Linked DNA regions of Macaca mulatta. The protein of the gene in region 2 interacts with the protein of the main gene of each other region in a biochemical or structural test. Links are inferred from orthologs where the notes say so. Each region holds a gene or a part of one and is shown on either strand. Other genes may lie near its edges.

Region 1 (14,817 bases), on a different chromosome or scaffold from region 2:
GGCAGGAGTGCCCTTGGCCTGCTAAGCCCCGTGTCCGCTATGGGCTATGATGGGAGGAGTGCCTAGCTCCAGCTCGATTTTTTGACCAAGACACTGGACGGAGGTTTTAGACTTCTGTGTCTTGACGTGGGAGATAGAGAGCCTGTGAGGCAGAGGCACCAGAGACAGACATGCTGGCAAGGGCGCTTGATCAATAACTTTCAGGAATCAGGCTGCAGACTCAGATCAAAAGCTCCATTCCTGAAGGCTGGGACAGCATTAAGGGACAGGAGTAAGGTGACAAAGCAGAAACTTCCCCAAGAGCTGCCCGGCACCCTTCATTTCAGACTCTAAAGAAAAAGAAGGCCCCCTTCTAGTGGGGTTGAAGCCCCAGGTTCACAGCAGTTCTCAGCATGGTGCCCCAGCAGACTGGCCTGGGTATCAGGAGACACACGGCAATGATCTGTCACTTAAAACACTTGTGGAGTGCCAGTGTTGGAAAACTGCTTACATTTTTAAAACATGTTTTCCTTTTAAAAAACTAAGTAAATAGGCTCGACACGGTGGCTCATGCCTGTAATCCCAGCACTTTGGGAGGCCAAGGTGGGTGGATCACCTGAGGTGGGGAGTTCGAGACCAGCCTGGCCAACATGGTAAAACCCCATCTCCACTAAAAATATAAAAATTAGCCAGGCATACTGGCAGGGACTTGTAATCCCAGCTACTCAGGAGGCTGAGGCAGGAGAACTGCTTGAACCTGGGAGGCGGATGTTGCAGTGAGCCAAGCGTATTGCACTCCAGCCTGGGCGACAGAGTGAGAGTCTGTCTCAAAAAAAAAAAAAAAAAAGAAAAAAAATTAAGTAAATAGTGCACTGCTCACAGATGTAAAATGGTGCAGCCGCTTTAGAAACAGTTTGGCATCTTCCCAAAAAGTTAAACATAGAGTTACCATATGACCCAGCAATTTCACTCCTAGGCATCTATTCCAGAGAATTAAAAACATATGTCCCCAAAAAAATCTATGCAGGAATATAACAGCTTATTTGGAATAGCCAAAAAGTGAAAACAACCCAAATGTCCATCAACAGATGAATAAACAAAATGTGGCCTATCCATACAAAGGAATATTATCCAGCCATAAAAAGGAATGAAGGGCTGGGCAGGGTGGCTCCCCGGAGGTCAGGAGTTCGAGACCAGCCTGGCCAACATGGTAAGACCCCCATCTCTACTAAAAATATAAAAATATGAGCCAGGCGTGGTGGTGCGCACCTATAATCCCAGCTACTTGGGAGGCTGAGGCAGGAGAATCACTTGAATCTGGGAGGCGGAGGTTGCAGTGAGCCAAGATCACACCACTACCCTCTAGCCTGGGCGACAGAGAGAGGCTCCTTCTCAAAAATAAAAAAAAGGATTGAAGCACTGATACTTATTACACCATGGATAGACCTTGAAAATATGATGCTCAGTGAAAGAAGCCAGACACAAAAGCCACGTATTTTGTGATTCCATCCATATGAAATGTCCAGAACAGGCAAATCCATAGAGACAGAAAGTACTTTAATGGTTGCCTTGGACTAGAAGGATAGGGGAATCGAAGGTGACGCCTAATGGGTACCTTTCTGGGGTGATGGAAACGTTCTGGAAGTAGACCATGGTAATGGTTCCACAACTCTGTGAATATACTAAAAACCACTGACTCATATGCTTTAAAACGAACATTATGATATATTAACTATATCTAGATTAACAAAACAGAAAAATAAATAAATACACTAGGCCGGGTGCAGTGACTCCGGCCTGTAATCCCAGCACTTTGGGAGGCCAACATGGGTAGGCCACCTGAGGTCAGGAGTTCAAGACCAGCCTGGCCGACATGGTGAAACCCCATCTCTACTAAAAATAGAAAAAATTAGCCGAGCCGGGCGTGGTGGCTCAAGCCTGTAATCCCAGCACTTTGGGAGGCCGAGACGGGCGGATCACGAGGTCAGGAGATCAAGACCATCCTGGCTAACCCGGTGAAACCCTGTCTCTACTAAAAAATACAAAAAACTAGCCGGGTGAGGCGGTGGGTGCCTGTAGTCCCAGCTACTTGGGAGGCTGAGGCAGGAGAATGGCGTGAACCCGGGAGGCAGAGCTTGCAGTGAGCTGAGATCCGGCCACTGCACTCCAGCCTGGGCGACAGAGCGAGACTCCGTCTCAAACAAAGAAAAAAAAAAAGAAAAGGCCGGGCGCGGTGGCTCAAGCCTGTAATCCCAGCACTTTGGGAGGCCGAGGCGGGTGGATCACGAGGTCAGGAGATCGAGACTATCCTGGCTAACATGGTGAAACCCCGTCTCTACTAAAAATACAAAAAACTAGCCGGGTGTGGTGGCGGGCGCCTGTAGTCTCAGCTACTTGGGAGGCTGAGGCGGGAGAATGGCGTGAACCCAGGAGGCGGAGCTTGCAGTGAGCCGAGATCACGCCACTGCACTCCAGCCTGGGAGACACAGCGAGACTCCGTCTCAAAAAAAAAAAAAAAAGAAAAGAAAAGAAAAAATTAGCCGAGCGTGGTGGCGGATGCCTGTAATCTCAGCTACTTGGGAGGCTGAGGCAGGATAATTGCTGGAACCCGGGACATGGAGGTTTGCAGTGAGCCAAGATCGCACCACTGCACTCCAGACTGCAACAGAGCGAGACTCTGTCTCAAACAAACAAACAAACAAAAAAACCCATTAAAACCATCCAGATCGGCCGGGCGCGGTGGCTCAAGCCTGTAATCCCAGCACTTTGGGAGGCCGAGACGGGCGGATCACGAGGTCCGGAGATCGAGACCATCCTGGGTAACACAGTGAAACCCCGTCTCTACTAAAAATACAAAAACTTAGCCGGGCGAGGTGGCAGGCGCCTGTAGTCCCAGCTACTCGGGAGGCTGAGGCAGGAGAATGGCGTGAACCCGGGAGGCGGAGCTTGCAGTGAGCTGAGATCCGGCCACTGCACTCCAGCCTGGGTGACAGAGCGAGACTCCGTCTCAAAAAAAAAAAAAAAAAACCATCCAGATCTTTCTTCCTCCTCTACATGCCTTCCTGGGTAAAATCAGAGAGAATTAAAGCCAGGACATCAGGCCCAGGAGTGTGTGGTGCCCGTGAACATCATATGTCACTCAGTCTGTATCACAGCAGAATCATGGACAAGAAGAGCCTGGACCTTGGGGTCTCCAGAGTCCAGCTTACCTAAATTCTTTATATTTTTAAATTAGAGATGGGGTTTCTCTCTGTTGCCCAGGCTGGAGTGCAGTGGCATGATCATAGCTCACTGCAGCTTTAAACTCCTGGGCTCTAGGAATTCTTGTGCCTTAGCCTCCCAAGCAGCTGGGACTACAGATGCATGCCACCATGCCAGGCAAATTTTTTTTATTTTCATTTTTGTAGAGACGAGGCCTCACTATGTTGCCCAGGCTGGTCTCAAACTCCTGGGCTCAAGTGATCCTCCTGCCTTGGCCTACCAAAGTGCTGGAATTACAAGCCTGAGCCACCATGCCCAGACTCTGACCCAAGATTCTAATCATGGCCATTTAGTAAAACTATGAGCCAAATACACTAGCTTGTATACCAGGCCACCATTTGGTACAAGGTATAGACTGCCATATATATATATATATATATATTTTTTTTTTTTTTTTTTTTTTTTGAGACAGAGTCTTGCTCCATTGCCCAGGCTGGAGTGCAGTGGCACGATCTCGGCTCACTGCAAGCTCTGCCTCCCGGGTTCACGCCATTCTCCTGTCTCAGCCTCCCGAGTAGCTGGGACTACAGGCGCCTGCCACCACGCCCGGCTAATTTTTTGTATTTTTAGTAGAGACGGGGTTTCACCGTGTTAGCCAAGATGGTCTCGATCTCCTGACCTCGTGATCTGCCCGCCTCGGCCTCCCAAAGTGCTGGGATTACAAGCGTGAGCCACCGCGCCCAGCCAAGACTGCCCTATTTTAAAGGACTAGAGTCTGGGCAAGTACCATTTATAGATAGTGCCTCTCCCCAATCCTATGGGCAAGAATTCTAAGTGCTGCAGGTCCAGGGATGAGCTGGCAGTCCGGGGGTGAAGAGCTGGCACACGGAGCCCATCACAAAGCCCTTTGGCATCCATGCTGCAACCACCCTTCAAAACAGTCCTGTGTGAGGTCAGACTCCTCTCTCCCCATTTACAGATGAGAGAACGGAGGCTCAGAAGAGAGCAGCAACCTATCTAAGCCTCCTTCTTTCGGGTGGCAAACTTAAGATTGGAACCCAAGTCATTTGAAGATCAAATAAAACAATATTGCCCTGTGTACCAGGGAAATCAAGCCCAGGGTGAGCTCCTGTCCCCAGTTCAGGGCTTGCCCAGCCCTGGTTCTCAGATCCGGCCCCAGAGGTCACGCCAAATCATCATTTATGACACTTTCTGTTAGCGAACACAAGGCTTCCTTGTATGCAGCTGCTGGCAGCCAGAGGCTTTGCTTCTTTCAGACAGGTTTTAATTAGAAGAGAGCATGGTGAATTGGGGAAAGCTGACACTCCCCACTGCAGCTTTGAAAGGGAATATTTGGATTAGAGCAAGATGTCTAAGAGGTTTCAGTTTGTTTTGCAAGGCCAGACAGTCTTCATTAACCCTGTATTTTCTTGTTCAACATTTTAACTCCAAATCTCATTGCATAAAATACTGCTTCAGAGACTAACACGGAACGCTTGAGTGGCAAGAAACTTTAGAAATGGGGTCAAGACAGCTAGGCGCGGTGGCTCACGCCTGTAATCCCAGCATTTTGGGAGGCCAAGGCGGGTGGATCAACTGAGGTCAGGAATTCAAGACCAGTCTGGCCAACATGGTGAAATCCCGTCTCTACCAAAAATACAAAAATTAGGTGGGCATGGTGGTGGCCGCTTGTAATCCCAGCTACTCAGGAGGCTGAGGCAGGAGAATCGCTTGAGTCCAGGAGGTGGAGGTTGCAGTGAGCTGAGATCGTGCCACTGCACTCCAGCCTGGGGGACAAGAGCAGAAATCCATCTCAAAAAAAGAAAAAGAAATGGGGTCAAGGCTAACTCATAAAAGGGAAGGAAGTCAGTTCCCTGCATGAACACATCAGTTAGGTCTGCAATCGCCTGGTCTATACAACCTGAATTCATGACTTCTGCACTTTCAGCGCTTGTGAGCCTCTCTAATTGTGGGTCAGGTATGTTATTTTTGCAACTAGGCAAGACAGTCAAGCTTGAAGGACATGCTAACTCTTGTGAAAGCAGGGAGAACCTGTCAGACCAACAGGGCACACACCCTGGGACAAGCCACTCTTTTAGCAGCAAGACAGAACATGGCTCAAACCTCCCAAACCTGAGACTGAAACGGCTGGATAAATATATATGTGCATTCTTGCAGAAGAGAGAGGCTTCCGCAACCCGACCAGCTGGGATCAGAACGAGGCCATTTCAAAAGCTTACCTTCTCGTTTCCTGTAGATTCCAGCTAATGGTTTCCCCTGGCATTTGACTTCGTGATGTGTAACTGAGTTCTCTTCCTGAAGGGGGAAACGCATTCCAGAGCATTTGTTCGGGCTCATGTAGGAATAGATCTTTGACTGCCCGGTAAACACATTCTCCTAAAAAGACAAAAGCATATTCTGAAAGAGGCTTGAAGAAGAAGATCCTAGAGCATTCACGAGGAGGAGGAATACAAAAGATGAAAATCAGACAACACCGTTTTTCAAAAACTGGGCTATCAGGGGATGCCAGCCCCCGTTGTCTCAGGAGAGCACTGGCAGGTTTAGAATCCCAGGTCCAGTGAAACGTTTCCTGAACGCGCTGGTCTCTAATTCGCTAAGGGGACAGCTGGCCAGCAGGAGAGCCGGCTGCAACCAAGGTCTATATAGGAAGAAGACAGCCTACCCGCAACAGGGAGGTCAAAAGGACCCGGGCATGTGAAGAGCTAGGCTATCTTTAGGAGTTCATTCCCCTGGCAGGAGCCGCAGGGACTCAGCACAGAAACAGGCCCCGGGGAACCTGATTAACCACTTGGTGCTGAGGGCGGCTGGAGGGCCTGTCAGTACAGCCAGAGCCCCATGCGTGCCCGAGCCTGACCCCTCTCAAATCACTGCAGCCCCGCAGCCTCCCAGGGCTGCGACGGAAGGACTTCTCTCAGCGTGACGGGGGAAGCTGGGAAGAGCAGGAGCCACAACCAGCGCATTCAGGGCGGCCACTCTGTCGCAAGCCGCACCTGGGCGTGAGAGAGAGGACGGGGCGGTGGGGCGGTTCAGGTCACTGCGGGCGTCTCTGGGCGTGGGGCCGGCCCCTCCTCTGAGTAAGCAGAGGGAGGAGGGCGTCCCCAGAAGCAAAGCGGGGCCCTGGCCGCCTCGGGGACCATTCAACACCAAGGCGGCGAGACCCGTGACCTCTCCGAGGGGCCCGGGCAGGCCGCGCACAGCCTGGAACGGCGGCCACCTCCGGGGAAGTAGGCTCTCGGGCTGCGGAGACGCCATGAAGGCGCAGTCAAACTTTTCCGAGGTCAAACACCGCCAGGCTCATGGCGGAGCCGTGTGGGCGCCACTCCCAGCCAGGCGGCAGCAAAGGAAGCGGCCCGGCCGGGCGCTCCGGGGCGGCGCGGGCAGGGACCCGGGATCGCCCATGTGCTCGCGGCCCCGGCCCGGCCGGCGCGCCGCAGGGGTGCGGGGAGGGTGCCTGCTTACCCCGTCGGTGCGGGGCCTCCCCGGGCCCCTCCGCTCCACCATCTCCGGGCCCGGGGCCGTCGCTGCCACCGCCGCCGCCGCCGCCGCCGCCTCCACCGCGCGGGGCTTGGACATCTTCCTGCCTGGAGAGGGGGACCCGGGGGAAGCGGGGGAGGGGGCGCTCAGGGCGCGGCGGGGCGGGGAGCGGGGCCGCCCGGGCCGGGCGCCGCGACGGCGCCTCCCGCCGCAGCCATATTTCGAGGCCCCGGCGCTGGTGAGCCGCCGGCGCCGCCGGGAGGGCCGGGCCGGAGCCCGCGTCGCCCTCCCGCCGCCCGGCCCGGCCGGGCCCCGCGCGCCGCCCGCCCCCCGCGCGGCCGGGCCCGACACACCCACCTGCAGCCCGGCCAGGCCCATGGCGGCGCGCCCCGCGCCCTCGCCGCCGCCGTCGCGGCCCGGCCACCACCGCTGCCGCTGCCGCTGCTGCTGCTGCTGCCGCCGCCACCAGCGCCGCCGCGGCGCCCCGGGGAAGGGCCGGCGGCGCCCCACGGCGCCCCCTTCCCCCATGGCCGGTGAGGCAGGGCCCGGCACCCGCGCACCGCGGCAGCCCCGAGCGGCCCGGGGCGAGGCACGCAGGGAAGGAGGCGCAGGCGGCGCGTCCTCCGCAGCCCGCCCGCCTGCTCGCAGCCGCCCACCGTCCGGCGCCCGGCCCTGGGAGGGGGCTGGCAGGGGCGGCGCCGCCAGGCCGCTCCGGAGGGCGGGCGGGCGGGCGGGCTCGGCGAATCCCGGCTCGGGCGCGCCCCCTCGCGCGCAGCCTCAGCCACTCGCGGAGGAAGGGGTGGGAAACACTGTCATCACAGCCCAGGCTCCCGCCCGCCCGCCCGCCAGCCCGCCCGGCTCCTTTTTCCGCTGGCTCCGCGGATATTTTGGGAGCCCCGTCTGTGCCAGGCGAAATCAGCAGCGGTGAACGCGCCAGGCCAGGCCCTCGGGTGTGCCCGGCGCTGTGCCCACCGAGAGTTTCACAGGCATTGAATCCTCCCCGCACGCCCACGGGGGCAGGTCCTGTCGGCATCCCAGCTTACAATGGTGACACCGTGACTCAAGGGAAGTGCTGGGGTTTGTCCCAGGCCACAAAACTAGGAAGTGATGGGGCCAGGTGTCAAACCCAGAAGGGCTGTACTTGACCGGTAGGAAGCCCTGGGGAGACATAGCCAGGGGTTATAATGATCGGTTTCCTGGGCGAGTCTTTTGCCGCTATCTCATTGAAACCTCACAGCAGCCCTGCAAAGGTAGACACCATTATTATCTCATTTCAACAGATGGAGAAAGTGAGGAGCTTGGCCAAGTTCTCAGAACTAGATGGGTTTCCAGCCCCGGCCAGCTGACCCCAAGGCCTGCCCTCCCAGCCACTACCCTTCCTGGTTACAGAGGAGGAAATGGAGGTTGGGAGGAGCAAATGGTCTTACAGAAGGGTTTAACAAGTCACCTTGTTCTCCTATCCCGCCGTGAGAAAATGCCCCATAGGCAGATGAGGTTCCTGTCACTCTGGTGGCTGTTTCAGCATAGCTCACTGCCCTGCACCATTATGCTGTGGCCATTAAGGATTGAGGGCCCATAGCCAGATTCACTGCATTTGTGCAAAGTCATAGATGCAAACAAGACACTTCAAGGCATCCAGCTTCTGCAGCCTGGGCCATGGCCTGGGAGTCAGGGGCTGGACTTATTTCCCTGCATCTGCCCAGAGGTGTTTTGTGACCATTGCCAAGTCACTTCCCCAGTCTGGGCCTCAGTGTCCTCATGGGTAAAAACCAAGAACCTTGAATTCCATAATCCACCGGAGCACCTTCCAACATCCACAGATATACAAATGGCTGTTTGTAGCCATCCCCCCACCTGGCCTCCCTCGCCTCCCATTAGAACAGATAAGACTGAGTAGGATTAGGTGGTGACAGGTCACTGCTCAGACAATTTGGAATTCCTCCCAAATCAGCTCATGCTTTAGCATCCTTCAAGGCAGGGTCCCCCAGCCCAACCACTAACTCCAGTGGGCTAGGTACTCTGCCCATGCCCTCTGCAGAGCCTACTACAGTTGAATATCCAAAAGATTACCCAGAGGGTGAAAGAGAATTCGAAAGTGACACTCTCATAACCAGGTTGAGCCATTTGAAAGTGTTTTCCACTTCTGCAAGGCAGAGAAGTTTTGCAGCTTAATTACCATGAGAATAATGGTTTTGGAGCAGGAAGCACCCACATAGATCATCTTGTCCATTTCATATACTAGTATACCGAGCCGCACCCCACACCCCACTCATGGTCGTAGCTTTCTCTGCATTTGAGCCCCCAATTGCAGGGGACAAATTACAAGCCTAGCACCTATTCCTCTCAATTCTGCAGCTCCAGTACCTAGAAGATGTAAACACAAATCATTCAATGTAAGTTTCAAAACAGTCCTTTCTCTGCAAGTTTATACATATATAACAAATATACTGGCTGGGCGTGGTGGCTCACACCTGTAATCCCAGCACTTTGGGAGGCCAAGGTGGGCAAATCACCTGAGGTCGGGAGTTTGAGACCAGCCTGGCCAACATGGCGAAACCCCATTTCTACTAAAAATACAAAAATTAGCTTGGCATGGTTTTGCATGCCTGTAATCCCAGCTACTTGGGAGGCTCAGGCAGGAGAATCACTTGAACCCGGGAGGCAGAGGTTGCAGTGAGCCAAGATCATGCCACTGCACTCTATCCTGGGTGACAGAGTGAGATTCTGTCTCCCAAAAAAAAAAAAAGTCTATTTTTGGAGACCCCCCCCAACCAGGTGCTAAGGGATAATGAACTGGAGATGGCAAAATGAGGAGGTCTACCAACTAAGAGACCATTCAACAATGGCAGTAGAAATAGCAAAAGGTAGGTGGACTGACCCCTGAGACTAATATATTGGAATTGTAAATATTTGCATGATTATAAAACTTCAAAATGAGTGAGGCATTGCCTGGCATCTGAACAGTTTGTTTTTGTGGCCCAGCAGGGCTCTCAAAGTGAATTGCAAGTTCAAAGCCCAATTTTCTAGAAGAAAAAGACTGTTCATTTGAAGTGCTATAAATGATTTGGTATTTACAATCTAAATATTGGCCAGGCATGGTGGCTTATGCCTGTAATCCCAGCACTTTGGGAGGCCAAGGCTGGCGTATAACCTGAGGTCGGGAATTCAAGACCAGCCTGGCCAACATGGCGAAACCCCGTCTCTACTAAAAATACAAAAATTAGCTGGGTGTGGTGACAGGTGCCTGTAATCCCAGCTACTTGGGATGCTGAGGCACAAGAATCACTTGAACACAGGAGAGGGAGGGTGCAGTGAGCTGAAATCACTCTACTGCACTCCAGCCTGGGCAACATAGAGTGAGCCTCTGTCTCAAGAAAAAAAATAATAATCTAGATCTAAATATCCAATTTAATAGCTTGCAAGGGCAATAAAGCCTAAGAAACAGGCAACTAATTTTGGGGTCAAGTGAGACAGTGAGAATCAATAACTAATAATTACATAGGTGATTTGTAAGCTGACCACGGGAGGAGCTGACAAACATTATCTTCGCTTTGGGTAAGTAAGGGAGGTTGTGTGGCACAAGCAAAGACCCAGCCAAGCTAGAGTCTGGACAGCAAGTTTGGACTTCAGGCTTCCTCCTCTAAAAAATGAGAATAACAATTTGTAAAGATGAATTGAGTTAATAAAGTACCTGGCCCTCAGTGATAATTATTATTATTATTATTTGTTGTTGTTGTTGTTTGTTTTTTTGAGATGGAGTCTCGCTCTGTTGCCCAGGCTGGAGTACAGTGACGCGATCTCGGCTCACTGCAAGCTCTGCCTCCCCGGTTCAAGCAATTCTCCCTGCCTCAGCCTCCCAAGTAGCTGGGATTACAGATATGCACTGCCATGCCCGGCTAATTTTGTATTTTTAGTAGAGACGGGGTTTCTCCATGTTGGTCAGGCTGGTCTCGAACTCCCGACCTCAGGTGATCCGACTGCCTCCGCCTCCCAAAGTGTTTGGATTACAGGTGTGAGCCACCGTGCCCGGCCATAATTATTATTTAGCCATATTTTAAGTATTTCAATGATAGATGGTTAGTTTTCTTCATAGATTCATTAATGCATTACTTTTAAAACAAGTAGTTAAATGATTGTACTGTAATAAGAAAAATGAAGCCAGGAAGCATAGTTTTATTAAAATTTGTCAGATAAATTAGTCAGATAATGTTAAATATACTTTTAGATGCTTAACACTTTTCTAAGGAAAAATATTAGTCTTAATTTTCTCCATGAGTTGGGTGATGAAGCTCTAAAACCTGAAGTTTACTATGCCTCATTTTTTCATCAGGCTCTGGGGAAGTCTTAATCCAAAAGACCCTCTAGGGATGCTGGGAGAATAAATGATGCAACTGATTTCAGGGCCTGAAAACAAAGGGACCCAATATATATTTGTTGAATGAATCATTATTTTATTCATTGTTATTGCTATAGGGAGCATACTGCACTAAAGCAAATTCCTACTAACACTTGATGCCTTGGAATTTTTAGAAAAATATAATACCCCAACTGATTTTTTTAAAAAACTAATTCTACTCAACTTTCACGCTCAAGTTTTTGGCCCTTTAGCGTGAAGGAGACGCAGTGGCTGGAAATGACCAAGCGGTTGGAGAGCTCTTTGCCGCATACCTGGGAGGCACTGGCCTGACAGCCAACTAAGTATGCAAAGGATTTCAGGCAGGACATCGCCTCCCAGGGCTGTACAAGCCCACCCAAGCCATCTACCGAGGGGCGAAGTCCTGACCAGATGCGGGGCGAACGACCGCGCCAGCGAGGTGCCATGAACCCGTTTCACCCCAAAGTGGGCCAGCAGGGCCCGGCCCTCGCTCCGGCGGCGCAGAGCTGACTCAGGACGTGGGGAAGGAGGAAAGGCGCCTGCCGCGGTGTCCACCCTGACGCACACCCCAACATGCAGGTTATCGATCTGCGCCTTCGCCTCGGGATCACCTCCTTTCCCAAAAAGAGAGAGCCCCAAAGTGGGCGAAGCCTCACTCCCACCCCCGCCCCACTTCTATCAATAACACCTATTCCCTGGAGGTGCCCTGCGCTTTAGTTTCCAAAGAGCTGTGACATATGGATCTGCTGCCCTGGAGAGGCAGGCCCGCAGGTGCTCACTTCATAGAGGGGAAACAGAAGCACGGCAGTGGGAGGGGTTTCTGGGGGCATCTGGAGCCTCAGGGGGGCCGGCGGGTTCCGAAGCAGCACCCCTACACCCCCCACGCGGGTCCCCAAGCTCGCCCCGAACCACCCGAGGAGGACGCCTCCCCGCAGACGCTGCCGCCACCCCGGCCACCCCTCCAGCACGACCCCCGACCCAGCCGCCCCGGCGCTGGCCACTTGGGCAAATACCTCTAGCCATGACCCCACTCTGTCACCGCCTGGGATCTCCCGGGAAACCCAGCTTTCGAAAAAAGTTGCAACAACTGCAGCCAACTGCTCCGCAGGGCTCCAGCTGTTCGCCCCGATTGGCGCCGCCGCCCGCCTCTCCGCAGGTTGCCTGTCGTGATAGGCGAACTCGGAGGGAGGCCACGCCCTTCTCCCGCCTCTTAGGCGGCGGGGCGGGTCCAGCCGTCGCACTAACTACAAACGCTTTCCCGACAGGTCCCGGGGGAGGAGGTGGGGGGGGGTTTAAATTTGACCGTCGCCCGACGTTGATTGGCTGCGATGGAAGACACCCGATCTGCCATTGGGACGCCCTAGACTCCTCCCCCTCCCGCTGCTGAAGCTCCGCCTCTGGAGCGTGAGTCGCCCGTCAGGAGCCCCGGGCTCAGAGCCGACCGGATCCAGGACTTCCGGTTCTGCGCGGGCTTGACCGGAACCCGATCTTTGACCCCTGATACCTCCTAATGAGCTGGGAAGCCTGAGTCTCCCAGCAGTTTAGCAACTCCAGCACACCGACCCCTCTGGCAGTTTGATCCTTTCATTCTCAGGTTTGAAAGGTTTAGGCCGGGCGAGGTGGTTCACGCCTGTAATCTCAGCACTTTTGGAGGCCGAGGTGGGAGGATCACCTGAGGTCCGTAGTTGGAGACCAGACTGACCAACATGGAGAAACCCAGTCTCTACTAAAAATACAAAATTAGCCTGGCGTGGTGGCGCATGCATGTAATCCCAGCTACTCAGGAGGCTGAGGCAAGAGAATAACTTGAACCCAGGAGGCAGAGGTTATGGTGAGCGGAGAGGTGAGCCGAGATCACAACATTGCACTCTAGCCTGGGCAACAAGAGCGAAACACTGTCTCAAAAAAAAAAAAAAAAAGGTTTATTGAATATTCCAGTATTCAAAACCCACAGGCACAACTCCTACCAAGTAACTGGGTCAGTAGAGGTCCTTCCAGGACCGCAAAGATCCTAATGCTTCACACCCACCCATTTTACCGATGGGGCAATAGAGGAAGTGGGTCACCTATGCACTGCCCAAGGTCACCCATCAATGTAATTGCAGGGCCTGGATCAGTCTCTCCACTGTTCAAACACTAAATGGCTACCTTAACCCCAGGGAAGCAAGTATTCGCTGTTCCCCTCTGGGAGAGGGGGCTCAGTCAGTATGTTCCCAGAGGATCAGGTGTCCTGGAGTGTCTTTGCTTTGGACTCAGGGAAGGTGTCCAGTTACTACTGCTCTTCCCTGGGGCCCCTCCCAGGGGTGTGGGATGAAGTCACTAATCTGTTCTGTCTCTTTGGTAGCTGAAAAGATTTTGGAGACCCAATCATTGCCCAAGGACCCTGCCAAAGCACCAGGAAAATAGGAAAGGAAAATAAAATGATATATGTGAAAGCACTGGGAAAGGTAGAAAAGGACACTTTTGTCACAAAGTCACTGTGTCACTTGGCACATCAGTTCAGCTCTCTGGACTTCCATTTCCCTAGCTGTCAAATGGAGGAGCTGGTGCTGTAATCTCCAACGTGCCTTACAGCTTCCATAAATATGTAGAGGTGTGGAGGCGGAGGCAGGCGGATCACCAGGTCAGGAGATTGAGACCATCCTGACTAACACGGTGAAACCCCATCTCTACTAAAAATGCCAAAAAAAAATTAGCTGGGCATGGGTGGCAGGCATCTGTAGTCCCAGCTACTCGGGAGGCTGAGGCAGGAGAATGGCATGAACCTGGGACGCGGAGCTTGCAGTGAGCCGAGATTGCACCACTGCACTCCAGCCTGGGCAACAGAGTGAGACTCCATCTCAAAAAAAAAAAAAAAAAAAAAAGATCATTTTATTTATTTATTTTTATTTTTCTTGAGATGAAGCCTCTCTCTGTCGTCCTAGGCTGGAGTGCAGTGGTTCGATCTCGGCTCACTACAACATCTACCTCCTGGGCTCAAGCAATTCTGCCTCAGCATCCCGATAGCTGGAATTATAGGCGCCCACCACCATGCCTGGCTAATTTTTGTTGGCCAGGCTGGATTCGAACTCCTGACCTCAATTGATCTGACGGCCTCAGTCTCCCAGAGTGCTGGGATTACAGGCGTGACCCACTGCGCTCAGCTCAATTTTTTATTATTATTTTACTTTAAGTTCTAGGGTACATGTGCACAATGTGCAGGTTTGTTACATATGTATACATGTGCCATGTTGGTGTGCTGCACCCATTAACTCCTCATTTACATTAGGTATATCTCCTAATGCTATCCCTCCCCCTCCCCAATTTTTTTATTTTTAATAGAGATAGTGTTTCACCATGTTGGCCAGGCTAGTCTCAAACTCCTGGCATCATGTGATCTGCCCGCCTCAGCCTTCCAAAGTGCTAGGATTATAGGCGTGAGCCCACCACCCCCAGCCTAAAAGATTATTTTATTTTATTTTATTTATTTATTTATTGAGACAGAGTCTCATTCTGTCATCCAGGCTAGAGTGCACGGCACATTCTCGGCTCACTGCAACCTCCACCTCCTGGGCTCAAGCAATTCTCCTGCCTCTGCCTCCCAAGTAGTTGGGATTACAAGAGTGTGCCAATCATGCCTACTTTTTTTTGTTTTGAGACGGAGTCTCGCTCTGTCACCCATGTCACCCAGGCTGGAGTGCAATGGCATGATCTCGGCTCACTGCAACCTCTGCCTCCTAAGTTCAAGCAATTCTCCTGCCTCAGCCTCCCGAGTAGCTGGGATTATA
Region 2 (15,030 bases):
GCAAGTGATTCTCCTGCCTCAGCCTCCCAAGTAGCTGGGATTACAGGCATGCACCACCACACCCAGCTAATTTTGTATTTTTACCAGAGATGGGGTTTCACCATGTTAGTCAGGCTGGTTTTGAATACCTAACCTCAAGTGATCCACCTGCCTCAGCCTGCCAAAGTGCTGGGATTACAGGCATAAGCCACTGCGCCCAGCCACAAAACTTTTTAAGCTTCCTCAAAACCACCAAAATTTTCTTCACATAATCTCTTATTTAGAGAAGGGCTAAATCGAGGGTTGTACTTAAACAAAACAGGAGTGGTACTGGCCAATGGCAAACAAAAGCATATGATGATGTAGGCCGCCAGCAGGCTGAGTCTATTAGTTTTGTTGTTTTTTTTTTTAATCATATTTTTATTTACGTATTTTTACCACAATCATTGCTACGTAATAGTCTATTAGTTTTTATTTGTTTTTGAGACGCAGTCTCCCTCTGTCACCTAGGCTGGAATGCAGTGGCGTGATCTTGGCTCACTGCAACCTCCGACTCCCAGGTTCAAGCGATTCTCTTGCCTCAGCCTCCCCAGTAGCCGGGACTACAGGCGTGCACCACCACGCTCGGCTAATTTCTGTAAGGAGTTTATTAGTTTTAAATTTCCTTTTCACAACTTTTTCTCTCCTCTCAAAACTATTATGGGTGGAGACAAGTACTTCCATTTCTTTCTTTTTTCTTTTTTTGGAGATGAAGTCTCACTCTGTCACCCAGGCTGGAGTGCAATGGCACAATCTTGGCTCACAGCAACCTCTGCCTCTCAGGTTCAAGTGATTCTCTTGTCTCAGCCTCCCAGGTAGCTGAGATTACAGGCATGCGCCACTACGCCCAGCTAATTTTTTGCAATTTTAGTAGAGATGGGGTTTTACCATGTTGGCCAGGCTGGCCTCGAACTCCTGACCTCAAGTGATCTACCCGCCTTGGCCTCCCAAAGTTCTGGGATTACAAGTGTGAGCCACTGCACCCAGACCCGCCTTGGCCTCCTAAAGTGCTGGGATTTCAGGCATGAGCTACTGAGCTTGGCCAAAGTACTTCTATTTCTGTTCATATATTCCCCAGTGAGTCACAGAAAGATACATTCAACCAGATCAAAGGGTATGTATCTACTGGGTAAAACAGTTTTCATTGTAGCTGAACCTTTGCAACCATTTCCTTATATTGGTTTTTTAAAAATGGTGCTATAATAATCCTATGCTTTAGAAGAAATATAGTTATGCTAATGATGCATAGAGATTAAGAAAAGTCTATTTTATAAATCAAAAGACAACAGTTTTTACAAAAACTCTAACATCTACCTAGTTTACTTTTTGAAGTATATTTGCCCTGTAAATGTGAAATAGATCATTTCTGTCCAAGCCTTGCCTAGAGAGTAATTCTCTTACCAGAAGAGAAGGTACATCCAAAAGGAGGAACCGGGACTCCTGTTTCTCCATAAGAAGTGTGTTCATCATTACCACTGCATTGATAACCAGTCAGAAGGGATTGTAGAGGGTATTGTGAAGACCATCCTAAAACAAGACAATTCCTTATAGAATTCCAATAGAGCATCACATTTCAGCATTTTTAACAAATCCAGAGGTAAATATTTGTTCTTAAGAAACTTTAGATATTAACATAGATCCACTTACTATTAATATCTATGGAAGACACTGTTTCTGGTATTTCCTTAAAAGAGTCCTAAGGAAAAAATGAAAAAGCACTTCCAACTTCTGGGGAGGTATAGCTTTGGGCTTACTATCTAAAATGAAGACTCTCACTAGCACATTGAGATTAGAAGAAATAAGAGGCCTTTGCATATTAAGAAAGATCTTCCTCCTTCTCCTACCAAAGAGACAACCACAAAAGCATTCCATTAAAACTGTTATCCCTTTCTATTAAATTCTTATGCTGGAACATCATACAAAATCCAGTGGTCAAAGAGCCAAAGAAAATAATATATATCAATGCAACTACTATAGCCAGTAACATATTCACCAAATTTACTTTCTTTTTCCTTTACTGCTGAAATTGTAGGAATCTAAAATGTTAATAGCAACGCTTATAGTATCTTAAATGATATTAGAGAAATTGTAAAGTGAAGCATTATGTACCTACCCCTAGTAAACATTTAGTTAGCCCTGGCTAGTGGCAGTGGGTCAGGCAGTCTTTACAGGAGGTCTTGAAAGATGGGTAAATTTTCACTGAATTTAGAATAGAGAACAGGAAACTCAGGGTGGAAGAAAAGTTTATTCTGCTTGGGTCAGAGATCTAACGTGCACTATGGTCCTACATAGTAAGATATCTTCAGAGATTTGTTTTTATCATACTGATTTGTGGTCAAGACATTTTAAACATATAAAAGAAACATTCATTCAACAAGTAATTACTGAAAACCAAATGTTCAATAAGCATTGGAGGAATCACTGAGTTTACAATCTATTGAAAGCATAACAAACTCACATTTTAGGGTACTCTGAATTCTCACTTTTCATCAAAAGTACTATGTGGAGAATACATCCTAGCTTGACATAACCTCAGACAAATCTACATTTGGATGTTCATAGACATAACCTGAAGGAATCAATAGAAGGGCACCAAAAAATTTAATCCAAATTTAATAATTAGTTCTGGGGCCATCATGTCATAATTTCAACATCAGATATCATTGTAAAGGAGCTGTTAAAGACCACTAAAAGAATGCAATAGGCTGGGTGCGTTGGCTCATGCCTGTAATCCCAGCACTTTGGGAGGCCGAGGCGGGAGGATCACGAGGTCAGGAGATCAAGACCATCCTGGCTAATCCGTGAAACCCCGTCTCTACTAAAAATAAAAACAAAAACAAAAACAAAACAAAAAAAATTAGCCAGGCATGGTGGCAGGCGCCTGTAGTCCCAGTTACTCAGGAGGCTGAGGCAGGAGAATGGCGTGAACCCAGGAGGCAGAGCTTGCAGTGAGTCGAGACTGCGCCACTGCACTCCAGCCTGGGCGACAGAGCAACACTCCGTCTCCAAAAAAAAAAAAAAAAAAAAGAATGCAATAGTTACGTTGAGTTCACAAGTATTAACCTACAGAATAAGTGTGTAGAAACAACAAAAGCCTCTGTTCAAAGGTTATGTAAATATACATGTTTTGGAATTAAAAAAAAATCAACTGCAAAATGCAAACTCAAAAGGGACTTTTGAACAACTTGGTTGAAATGAAGATGATACACTCCAAAAAACCTGCAATTTTTTACAATTAAACAATGACTTTAACTCTGCGTCTCTGCCTACAATTAACATCCAAACACCAATGAATGGTGAGTGATTGGTCCTTGCCTACTCCTCTACTTATGCAATCCCTGCAATACACACTTCACTGATGAACCACCCTAAGCTACTTTTGGATCCTTATTGTGTTATGAACATGAAACTGTAATGCTTACCTCCACAACACATTTGGAAAAAGCTATTATTTCCTCATTGTACAACTTAAGCCCCTAGAGTTACATGCACATATTCCAAGTAGTATACAAGAACATGAGAGTTTTCAGAGACTAAATTTCCAGATACAGTAGTCATCCCCATCTGTGGTTTTGCTTTTTGTGGTTTCAGTTGCCTATGGTCAACGATAGTCTGAAACTATTGCATTGAAAATTCCGGAAATAAAGAATTCATAAGTTTTAAATTGTGTGCCATTTTGAGTAGCAAGAAAATTTCACACTGTCCTACTCTGACCTGTCCAGGGTTATGAATCATCTGTGTCCAGAGTATCCGTGCCATATATGTTACCTGCTCTTTAGTCACTTCGCTGCTTTGTCTGTTACATAGTTGGAAGGTCAGTAGTAGCCTAATGTTATATCACAGTGCCTGCCTACATCATTCATCTCACTTCATCTCATCATGTTGTAGATATTATATCATCTCACATCATCACGAGAAGAGCAAGTATAGTACAATGATATATTCCGAGAGGCCACCTTCACATAACTTTTATTATAGAATATCGTTATAAATGTTCTGTTATTATTAGTTATTGTTAATCTCTTACTGTACCTAATTAAACTTAATCATAGGTATGTGTCTGTATAGTAAAAAACACAGCATACATAGGGTTGGGTCTTGGAACATATCCTTCAAGGATAAGGAGGTACTATTGTACTCAACTACGATATACAGTCATATGTCATGTAATGGCATTTTGGCCAAAGACAAACCGCATACACAATGGTAGTCTTATAAGATTATAATGAAGCCTAAAAATTCCTATTGTGTCTTAGTTTTTAACAAAAGGTTCGAAAAGTTAAGAAGAAAAAAGAAAAAAATTTAAAATAAAAAAACTTATAGAATAAGAATATGAAGAAATAAAATATTTTGCACAATTATACAATGTGTCTGTGCTTTATGCTGTTACCACAAGGGTCAAGAAGTTAAAAAATTTAAGATGTTTGTAAGTTTAAAAGTTACAGTAAGCTGGCCGGGCGCGGTGGCTCACGCCTGTAATCCCAGCACTTTGGGAGGCCGAGGCGGGCGGATCACAAGGTCAGGAGATCAAGACCACGGTGAAACCCCGTCTCTACTAAAAATTACAAAAAATTAGCCGGGCGCGGTTGTGGGCGCCTGTAGTCCCAGCTACTCGGGAGGCTGAGGCAGGAGAATGGCGTGAACCCGGGAGGCGGAGCTTGCAGTGAGCCGAGATCACGCCACTGCACTCCAGCCTGGGCTGGGCAACAGAGCAAGACTCCGTCTCAAAAAAAAAAAAAAGTTACAGTAAGCTAAGCCTAAGGTTAATTTATTATTCAAGAAAGTATTTTTTAATCAATTTAATGCAGCCTAAGTATAGAGTGTTTATAATGTTTACAGTAGCATAATGTCCCAGGTCTTCACACTGACTGACCACTCACTCATCGATTCACTCACAATAACCCCGAGTCCTGCAAGCTCCCATTCATAGTAAGCACCCTCCACAGGTGTACCATTTTTTATCTTTTATATCCTATTTTTACTGAACCTTTTCTATGTTTAGATACACAAACACTTACCATTGTGTTACAGTTGCCTACAGTATTCAACACAGTAATATGCTGTACAGGTTTATAGCCTAGGAAAAATACACAGCTTAGGTGTGTAGTAGGTTACACTATCTAGCTTTAAGTATACTCTGTGATGTTTGCACAATGATAAAATCACCTAATGATCCATTTCTCAAAATGTTATCTCCATTTATAAGCAATTGGATACTATATATGCATTTCTAAAACTCACCTGTCTGAAAAACCTGATGTCTCTGAGAAGGTTGAGGTATCACTTTTTTCCTTTCCCTTCATTACTTCCTTTCTTCCACTTTATAAAAGAAAGGCATTCCTGTGCCCCAATCTTAAACCTTGCATTGATCCAAAGAATAAAAACTTTTGGGTATCAAATATTTTTAAATAAAAACAAATAAACTTTTGGAACCTTAACAGATAAATAATTCCTTCAATAAAGGAATCATAAACACCCAAATTCATCTCTTTAAAAGATGTACTTCCAACAAAATTTTACTTTTGGTTAATAATTACCAAAATTGGTAATCTATATTGTTTTAAACAATCATATAGTACTAATAATTGAATTGAAAATTCAATCCATAAAGAAGTTTTAACACTCAGAGGCTTATGACAGAAAACAGCAATTTAAATTATCTTTTGACACAGAGGGGTATGACAAGAGTGATCAGTAAAAGAGCTTTTCAAGCATAAAATTAAATTACTGTGGGAGAAATGAAATGGAAATAAATTCAAGAGGAAAAAGCAGCTATATGGAATTTCTAGCAGTTAAAGAGTTTGTTCGTATGTTTCTAAAAAATGGATGACGTGATTATCAAATCACTACAGTATTTACATTATATTAGATACACTTAAAAGAGTGATATAGCATTTTTATTTATTCCCAATATGGTCAGAAATTATATTCTTTGCATTTGTTTAAATTTGTGATAAAAACTTTTAGATATCAATTTGAAAATACACAGAAGAGTCGTCAGATTTCCATTTTAGAAGGATCATGAGCAGCAATGTGGAGAATAAAGTGAAGACAGACAAACTAGGAGGCCATTTGGGAGACTTCTTACAATCCAGACAAGAAGGCATTAGGGCCCAACCTAGGGAAATGGAATGGTAAAAATAGAACACATCCAGGATACAGTAAAGATGCATAATCACAGAGATTTTAACGAAATGTTTTGAATGTGTAACTATGAGGAAGATGAGGAAGTCTTTAATTGACTCAGGTTTCTGGCTGGGAAAACTGGTTTAAATAATGAGGCCACTCCCTAAAATTGGTAATATAGCAGGTTTGGGGGAGAAGTTGAGTTCAGTTTTGGGTATTTGAGTTTGAGATGCTTGTGGGATTGACAGTCTGCGTGATAATCAACCCACACAGCTTTTACAGAAATGAATCTCAGGTACATGAAGTCTTCCAATAACATCATTTTGTACAATGTCATTTCCTCATACTGTTCATGAGAAAAAAAATCAATTCCTGTTTGAGGCCACTGGCTGGGTGGAGTTTGTACATGTTCTCCCCATGTTCACAGAGGTTTTCTCCAGGTACTCTCGTTTCCTCCCACATGCCAAAGATGGGTATGTTAGATTCACTGGCATGTCTACATGGTCCCAATAGACAATGGGTGTGTGTGAGTGCTTCCTGTGATGAAATAGCATCCGGTCTAGAGCTGGTTTCCACCTTGTACCATGAGCTGCCAGGATAGGCTCCGGGCACCCACAGTCCTGAGCTGGAATAAGTGTGTCAGAAAATGAATGAATACAAATAATTATATAATAAAAATGGTAAACTTTACAATAATCATACAAATGAATGACAAACGATTTGGTATGAAAGGGCTCAGTGAGCTGCCATATTTGTGATTGTTTTTGAACTGGGTGGTTGTAGGAGGTGCTCCAATTTTCAGTTTGCAAACATTTATTCCTTGATTTAGCCCACCACTACTATGACCGAGGTCACTCACTGATACGCCAAACTTGGGTAAATAATTATCTCACTTGTTTTTATTAATCTTTCTCAAATGTATGTATAGCACACAATTATTTCAACATTTAATATTAAAAGTGTTTTGGGTCTTTATTTAGAAGTTCAGTGGTGTTTGTATGACCAAAATATGCCACTGGAACTTAATTCTTGTTTATATCAAGTAGCCTATGGTAGAGTTGGTTTAGTTATACATTGTTTTCCCTAAAGTCACAGTTTCCAAGAGCCTATCTAGACATTAAGTGAGAACTTACCATATAAGAAATAGAAAGTTGTATGTACATAGAAGTGGAAGAAGCCCTGGTTATGGCTGTGATCATCCAAAGAAGTAGGAAGAAGAAGAAAAGGGGCCAAGGAGGGAACACCAACACTGAAGAGGAAAGGAGATGATTCTATAGATTTCAGTGGGTAACATATAATAGTGAATGAATTTCAGTGTCTATTGTGTAACAACGAATGAGTACTCGTGAACAGGAAAGAGGGAAGGGAAAGGTAAACACATGGAGAATTAGGAGAAAATCTGTCACAAAACAGTCTGAACAGCTCCCCCAGGACACACATATAGTAAGGTGTGGAGGTATAATAAAACCCAGGTAGCACTGTGCATAGTCACTCTTAAACAGAGGACAGAGAAGTAAGTCAAACAAAGTCCCAGAAGAGAAAGAGGAGCATTTAGAGTATAATTACAAAGATTATCTATGAGGGAAAGAAATAAGAATGGTATAAAGTTTCAGATTGCTAGCAGGAAGTTGAGGGACTACTTCTCAGTCTCTTTCTCAATATCATTTTCCTAGACTCATCCCTGAACATAAAAATTCCCTTCTCAGGTTCCTTTTCCACATGGTTTCAAGAGGAAAAAGAACCTCTGGCTATAGTCGATGTTCACATGAGTGAGATTTTATTTCTGTCCAAGGTTAGTCTGCCTACTTACCTTCCTTATCAGAAACTTACCAAAAAGTTTAAGTTGATGACACCCAAACCTAGCCTCAAATCTCTTATTGCCAATGTTTTAGCGTAAGAAAGTTAGATTTCTACATATTAACATGGGAATACGTTCAACTTATACCATTAAAGTGAAAAAACAGGACATTTTGATCCCATTTCTGAAAATAATAGATATTACCTCTAGCGTCGAAAACATCTGGAATAATATACTTCAATCTATTAACAGGGGTCATCTCTGGCGGATGTGGTTACAAGCATCTTTCACTCTAAATGTTTATGACCATGTAGTAAACGGGGAAAAAAAGATTTTGATCCTGTTAGAAGCAGATATCCTGTCTTCTCTGCTTGACTGAGTTCCTTAACAGTGGGTCATATTCACTGGTATATACCCATAGCAAATAGCTGGGCTCACTAAGATTCTACAACAAACGAATGAATAAATCAATGAGTATGAGTTTTGACCATCTCAAATAACTGTTGAGAGAAACATATACACACAAATGCATGCATTTTCCCGTTAACGCGCAATGGAGATGTAAGCTGTAAGAGGCCTTGGAAGGCAGTTATTTCGACGTCCATGCCTACGTTACGATTTTAAAAGCCCGATTACGATTACAAGTGTTCCGAGGAGATGAAAGCACAGCTTTCTTCAGTAGTCCCAGCTAACACTAATTTACCCTTGCCATGGGAGAACTCAGAAGCTGAGTTCAGAATTGGAGTCGGCCCTGGTCGGAGGTGGCGTGTGTTTCGGGGTAGATGAATCCCGCCAGCCCCGAGCAGCGGTTGGGACCGTTACTCACCATTTCTCAGGACGCCAAGCTGGGGCTGGCGAAGCACCGAATTGAAGAGCATCAGGGCCGGAGGAAAAGGCTCAGCTGAGAGAAAAGTCGTAGAAATGCCTCCAAGTTCAGCAAAAATCGCAGCTTGCGCCTCTCACAACACAAATCGTTATCGCCTCCAACTCCCGCCACTGTAAGCCCCGGCCGCCAAACTCCGCGCCAAACTGACGTCACGCTCTCTGATTGGCTTCCGAGCGACGTCCGGGCGCCTCAGAGTCATTTCCCCCTTCGGATCCCCGCCTCCTTTTCTCCCAGCCGCGGGAACCTGGAGTCCAAGAGCTCCTTGAGCGCCTGCGCAGAGGGCAGCAGAGGCGACTGCGAACCGCGGGGTGACCAGGGCGCATGCGTAACAGGGCTTGACAGCGCGCGGAGGAAAATCCAACAAGAAGGCGGCGGGAGAAGATGGCGGTTCTGGGGTAGAGTTTGCAATCTTTCTGACTAGGCTAGTCGAGTAACTATTCGGGTCATGGCGTCAAACTCAACTAAGTCTTTCCTGGCAGATGCCGGCTATGGCGAACAGGAACTGGATGCCAACTCTGCCCTTATGGAGTTGGACAAAGGTATTCGAAAGAGCGGGCTGAATGGGTGAAACGGGCGTGGGGGGAAGTGGCGCCACCACGTGGTGGTAGCTTCAGAGGACGGGTAGGCGCATGCGCCTATCTTCGCTGGGCGGGGAGTGCCTGTGCTTTTGCTGGGGCGTGGGCTTTGACCCCTTCGGGAGGTTGCGGGAAATTTGCAGGATTGTTTGGCCTTACACCGGCTAAACAAGTGGCGAGCTCTAGTGAGAGGCCCGTTTTGACCACTTGAGGGAACAGCCCCCTATTTTCTAAGCAGTGGACAGTGGCTGGTTTCTAAGAAACACTACAAAGAAATTCTGAAATTGGTTTTCAGTCTGTTCATTTGAGACCAGGTCACCATGAAATGTGCTGAATAGTTGTCTTGCACCGACTTGACAGCGATTCATTTGATTTCCGTAGCTCTGTTACCTGCGGGTTACAAGGCAGGCTAACCATGGCCGAGACCATGCAAAAAGCCCTGCTCATTCTCTGCGGACAAGTTCCAGGAGTTCTGTTTCCTTGCTTACAGGGAGCAGTTTGGTGTAGAAGGAGCTTTGGGGTTGCACTGAGTTAAATTTCAGTGCCGCTAATTTTATGATTAATTTCATCTAGCCTCGGTTTGTCGTCTACCAAGTGGGTACAGTACCATTGAGCTGGCAGAATTGTTGTATTAAGTGACTTAATGGTATGCGAAAGAAGCATTTAGTAAATGCTGAAGAGATATAGATATGGATTTGGGACGCAAGGTCGGAAATTTGTCAGTAAAGAACTCGACTGGTGATATGAAACCTGTTTCATATTAAGGATTTTTATTGTACGGGAAACATTTCGGCAGCTGGTATACAATTAAATCTTGATTAATCGTAGCCAATATATAATGTTGGAGAACAGGACTAGAACTCAGAAGGATCTCTGTTTAAGTCCCCTTTGAGCCACTTCCCAGTTTTCTGAGTTGGATATGTCTATTAACGTTTTTGGGACTCTTTTTCCGTTTATTTTTTAAACTGTGAATATTTTTAGTGGGTTAGTCTAAATAAGAGTTTCTCAGGCTCTTATAAAAGCTTTTACCTCCTGATAAACACAAAAATTTCACAACCCGCAATGGGATATTCCTTTGGTTGAGTCTCAATATCTTTAGTGCACTCCCATCAACCAAGAAAATGATGTTGAACTTTTCTTTCTCTTACCAAATCTATAGGGTTTTTCTCCTCTGAAAAATAAAATTGTAATATTAAATATGTTTTTCTTTTCTTTTCTTTTTTTTTGGAGACGGAGTCTTGCTCTGTTGCCCAGGCTAGAGTGCAGTGGCGCGATCTCGGCTCACTGCAACCTCTGCTTCCCGGGTTCAAGCGATTCTCCTGCCTCAGCCTCCCGAGTAGCTGGGATTACAGGTGCCCACCACCACGCCCGCCTAATTTTTGTATTTTTAGTAGAGACGGAGTTTCACCATGTTGGCCGGGCTGGTCTCCAACTCCTGACCTCAGGTGATCCATCCGCCTCGGCCTTCCAAAGTGCTGGGATTACAGGCATGAGCCACTGCGCCCGGCCTTAAATGTGTTTTTCAAACACTTTCCTCCTCATTCTGATACATCTCTTTCTTATCCCTACCAGTTCTAAGGACATTTTCTATCATGCTGGTCCAGCTGAGCTTGTACCATGCTGACAGTAGGATAGTGGTTGTGGAACAGTGATCAAGATGGGGCACTGAAGAGGAGTCTAGAATTGTTTAATTCCTCAAATTTTACAGTTGTAAGAAAAAAGCCACAATTTTCCTTTTTAAAGAAAAGTTGAAATGAAAATATTTTATATCTGCAAGAAAGAAATCAGGTGTCAATCTTAGACACAGAGTAAGTGATCATTTTCACTCCTCCCAGCAATGCCCGGCGTATTTTACAGATGAATCTCAGGCTTAGAAAGATGACTTGTTCTTTTTCATCTCACCTATAGTATCTTTTAAAGCTGTTAGGAAATTAAGTTATAGAAATAGCCAGTTTCATGTAGCATATAGTTGAGTATTTTAAATATTGAGTCATTTCATCTTGTACCTGTTAAAGTACTTCTGTTTTGTGAGCTAAAGGTCAGAAGGCTACAAGTTACAACTCTTTTTTCGTTCCCAAACTCCAAGGAATGCTGTTTCTGAAATATCTCCCCCACCTCAGCACAGACACTCAGACACATGACTTATTTGATCAGGCTTTGTACTAGGAACATGGCAGTTAATGAAACAAAACAAAACTCCTGCCCTTATAGAGCTTACATTCTAGACAGCAGATGCAGACACTCAGCAAATACAGCGAACACGTGACAGTTAATGATACATATTCTAAAGGAAAGTGAAGCAATGAAGGGGACTGGAGAAAACTGATCAGGGGCTGGAGTTGATTTCTTATTTTATGAAGGATAGGCAAGAAAGACCTCCTCAATCAAGTGGAGGAACAGCAAGTGCAAAGGCCCTGAGGTAGAAGCCTCCTATGCATGCAGTTATCTGGAGCAAAGTAATAGACAATGAGTATAGAAAGATAACCAGAGTTGGTTGGGCGCGGGTGGCTCACACCTGTAATCCTAGCACTTTGGGAGGCCGAGTTGGGTGGATCATGAAGTCAGGAGATCGAGATCATCCTGGCTAACATGGTGAAACCCCGTCTCTACTAAACAAAATACAAAAAATTAGCCGGGCATGGTGGCGGGCGCCTGTAGTTCCAGCTACTGGGGAGGCTGAGGCAGGAGAATGTCGTGAACCTGGGAGGCGGAGCTTCCAGTAAGCCGAGATCACACCACTGCACTCCAGCCTGGGCAACAGAACAAGACTCTGTCTCAAAAAAAAAAAAAAAAAAAGAAAGAAAGATAACCAGAGTCCAGTTCAGGTAGGGCCATGCAAGCCATCAAAAGGACTGGCTTTCATTCTGAGTGAGATAGGAAACCATGGAGGATTTTCAGCAGGTGTGTGACATGATCTGACTTTCCTTTGGAAAGTATCAGTCTGGCTAGTGTGTGGAGAATAGACTGAAGTGGAGAGGGTCAGGGACCCAAGTAGGGAGACCAATGAGAAGGCAACTATAACAATCCAGGGAAAAGAATATAGTGGCTTGGACCAAGGTGGTGACACTGAAAATGTGTGAAGTGCAGAGATTCTGGATATACTTTCAAGGTAGAGCCAACAAGATTTGCTAATGGATTAGATGAGGATATAAGAGTAAGTGGTCAAGAAAATTTAGAGGTTTTTGGTCTGAGCTACTGGGAGGATGTATGTATGTTTAGTGAAATCAAATCAGTTTGTGATATGTTAAATTTGAGATGTCTCTTAGACATTCAAATGGAGATGAGTAGACAGACATAAGATATAACCTTTGAATGCTATTTTAAATAAATATTTTGTGGCACTGGTGTTGCTAGAAACACACTCGGGAAATGCTGCCATTCATAACCTGTTATATATTTATAACCTATTGTACTTTATTCTGAGCCTTTTGAGCAAGCATTGGCAGTAAGCTGATTGTTTCTGATCTCTATAGGAATAAGTGGATACTATTTTGAAGCTGACTCAATTCCATTACTTTAGGATGTAGTTAGTAACAGGAAAATCATCGTCCATATGATAGCCATTCATTTACTCAACAGATATTTACTGACCACCTGCATTGTCTCAGGCTCTGTACTCAGACTAGGGGCTATATTGGCAAACAAGACATCTTTAAGGAGCTAGCTTGCATACAAATATAAGGAGACAGACAATGCTAGATCAAATGTGGCGCTGTTAGGACAAGAAGTTGGATTTTGTGCAGAGTGCAATGGGAAGGCATTGAAAGTTGTAGGCTGATGGCCATGCTGACTGAGCTTCTGTAAGACTGAGCATACACAAGCAGAGTTAAGTGTTATAATCAAATACATTACAGCTTATGTTTATCTGACACATTTCATGATATAATCATTACTATACGTAATTGGCAATATAAAGAATGCGTCTCACAAAAATTAGTGTAACTTTTTCACTAATATAATTTCTTAGTCTAAACATTTTTAGATCAGCTGATGGGAGGTTATCCTGATGATTTGGGAAAACTTATGCAAGATCTCTTTCCACCTGGGAAAAGAGGAGTCTCTTAAATGACATTATTCAGCCTATCTGCCTTCCGCAGTGTTGACCTTGGAAAGGATGAGGTGAAAGCAATGGGGAAGAGAGCAGTGACTCATTCCTTTTCTTGCAGCTGATGCAATGGGAAGGGAGGAAATATAGAGGGTAGATTTGTTACTAGAGGTGCTGGTGAACGTAATGCTGTGTGAAAAAGCTTGATGGTGTGCTTAATGAAAAATTTAGTTATGAAATAGAGAAATGATGTGAATCAGGAAGCTATCTCTACACTAATTCCCCCTTAGACGCTGTCACCTCACCTATATTCCAAAATACCTGAATTCTCAGACCATCAAGATTGTTAAAAAAGACCACAGATTGCTTTGACATTATCTATATGGCTCAGATGTCGTTGGTGTTTCAGTAAACAAATATGAGGCCTTTGAGGAAGTGTCTTCATAGGCCCTCCTGAAGAGAAAGGCCTCAGCAGCCAGATTTGTTTCAGGTGACTAATTCCCTACCATAACTGATTGATTCAGAAGGAGGCATGTGACCCACACGGAGTCAAATTCTTTCTCCTAAGAATCTCTGCTGCCAGACCACACAGTCTGAGAGTGTTGAGAAGCGGACCTATAAAATCATGTAGAATTAGGCCGGGCGCAGTGGCTCACACCTGTCGTTGCAGCACTTTGGGAGGCCGAGGCGGGCGGATCACCTGAGGTCAGGAGTTTGAGACCAATCTGCCCAAGATGGTGAAACTCTGTCTCTACTAAAAATACAAAAATTAGCTGGGGGTGGTGGCAGGCACCTGTAATCCCAGCTACTTGGGAGGCTGAGACAGGAGAGTCACTTGAACCCAGGAGGCAGAGGTTGCAGTGAGCTGAGATTGTGCCATTGCACTCCATCCTGGGCGACAAGAATGAAACTCGGTCTCAAAAAACAAAACAAACAAACAAAAAACATACAGAATTGAAGCTAAGGTGAGACTCTGGGCAACTTAATGCCACATAAAAACCAGCAGCCTGATTGGTAATTCCTTCATGGGCTATGAACTAATCCAAAAATTCAAGTTTTTACTGAAACCCACAGACTCATTCTTGTATATTACTAAAATTTACTGTCTTGGAATTTGCAAAATAAGTTATTAAATATTCCTAGAAGTTGGTATACATAAACTCAAATTTGTTTAGGATTCTAAATTAGTATTCTCATATGCATACTGGATGACGTTGCATATATCTTACCATGTACATTTACAGACATTTTCTGAAATTTGGGGGATGGATGCTGCCTTATTAATGCATCGTTAGTTTTCACTATCATTTTACTTGTTTCTATTTCTGCTTTTTAAATATAAAAATTGGCTTTGCCATCAATTTTTTAAGCTGTGGGTTGTATGCTTGTGTTCATATTTCTACCCATGTCCCCCCGACACCTTTTATTAATGTATACATTTCAAGATTTGTTTGTATTATGGTTCAATTTCGAATCATCATCATTTCTTAGCTAAAGCAAATGTATGTCACAAATTCTCCTAAATTGTGTTTGTTTGGTAAGGTTTTATTTGTGGTGTTCTTTGTAGTGGATGTTAGTTATG

Evidence for each region.
Region 1: the proteins of DTL (region 2) and KMT5A form a complex in vitro, tested with the Homo sapiens proteins (2 studies listed by BioGRID, with this or other methods). The link is inferred for Macaca mulatta from reciprocal best matches to the Homo sapiens genes DTL and KMT5A.

The regions. Positions count from the first base shown.
Region 1 is NC_133416.1:130,797,572-130,812,388, reverse strand, and holds the start of KMT5A (N-lysine methyltransferase KMT5A), read right to left. Parts: upstream 7,350-14,817; 5' UTR 7,204-7,349; coding exon 7,033-7,203; exon of another isoform or gene 7,029-7,032; intron 6,783-7,028; coding exon of another isoform or gene 6,661-6,782; intron 5,987-6,660; exon of another isoform or gene 5,864-5,986; intron 5,578-5,863; coding exon 5,421-5,577; intron 1-5,420. UniProt on the Homo sapiens protein: Protein-lysine N-methyltransferase that monomethylates both histones and non-histone proteins. Specifically monomethylates 'Lys-20' of histone H4 (H4K20me1).
Region 2 is NC_133406.1:69,765,355-69,780,384, reverse strand, and holds the start of DTL (denticleless protein homolog), read right to left. Parts: upstream 8,938-15,030; 5' UTR 8,821-8,937; coding exon 8,769-8,820; intron 1,546-8,768; coding exon 1,420-1,545; intron 1-1,419. Other genes in the region: INTS7 (integrator complex subunit 7), read left to right, coding at 9,274-9,367. UniProt on the Homo sapiens protein: Substrate-specific adapter of a DCX (DDB1-CUL4-X-box) E3 ubiquitin-protein ligase complex required for cell cycle control, DNA damage response and translesion DNA synthesis.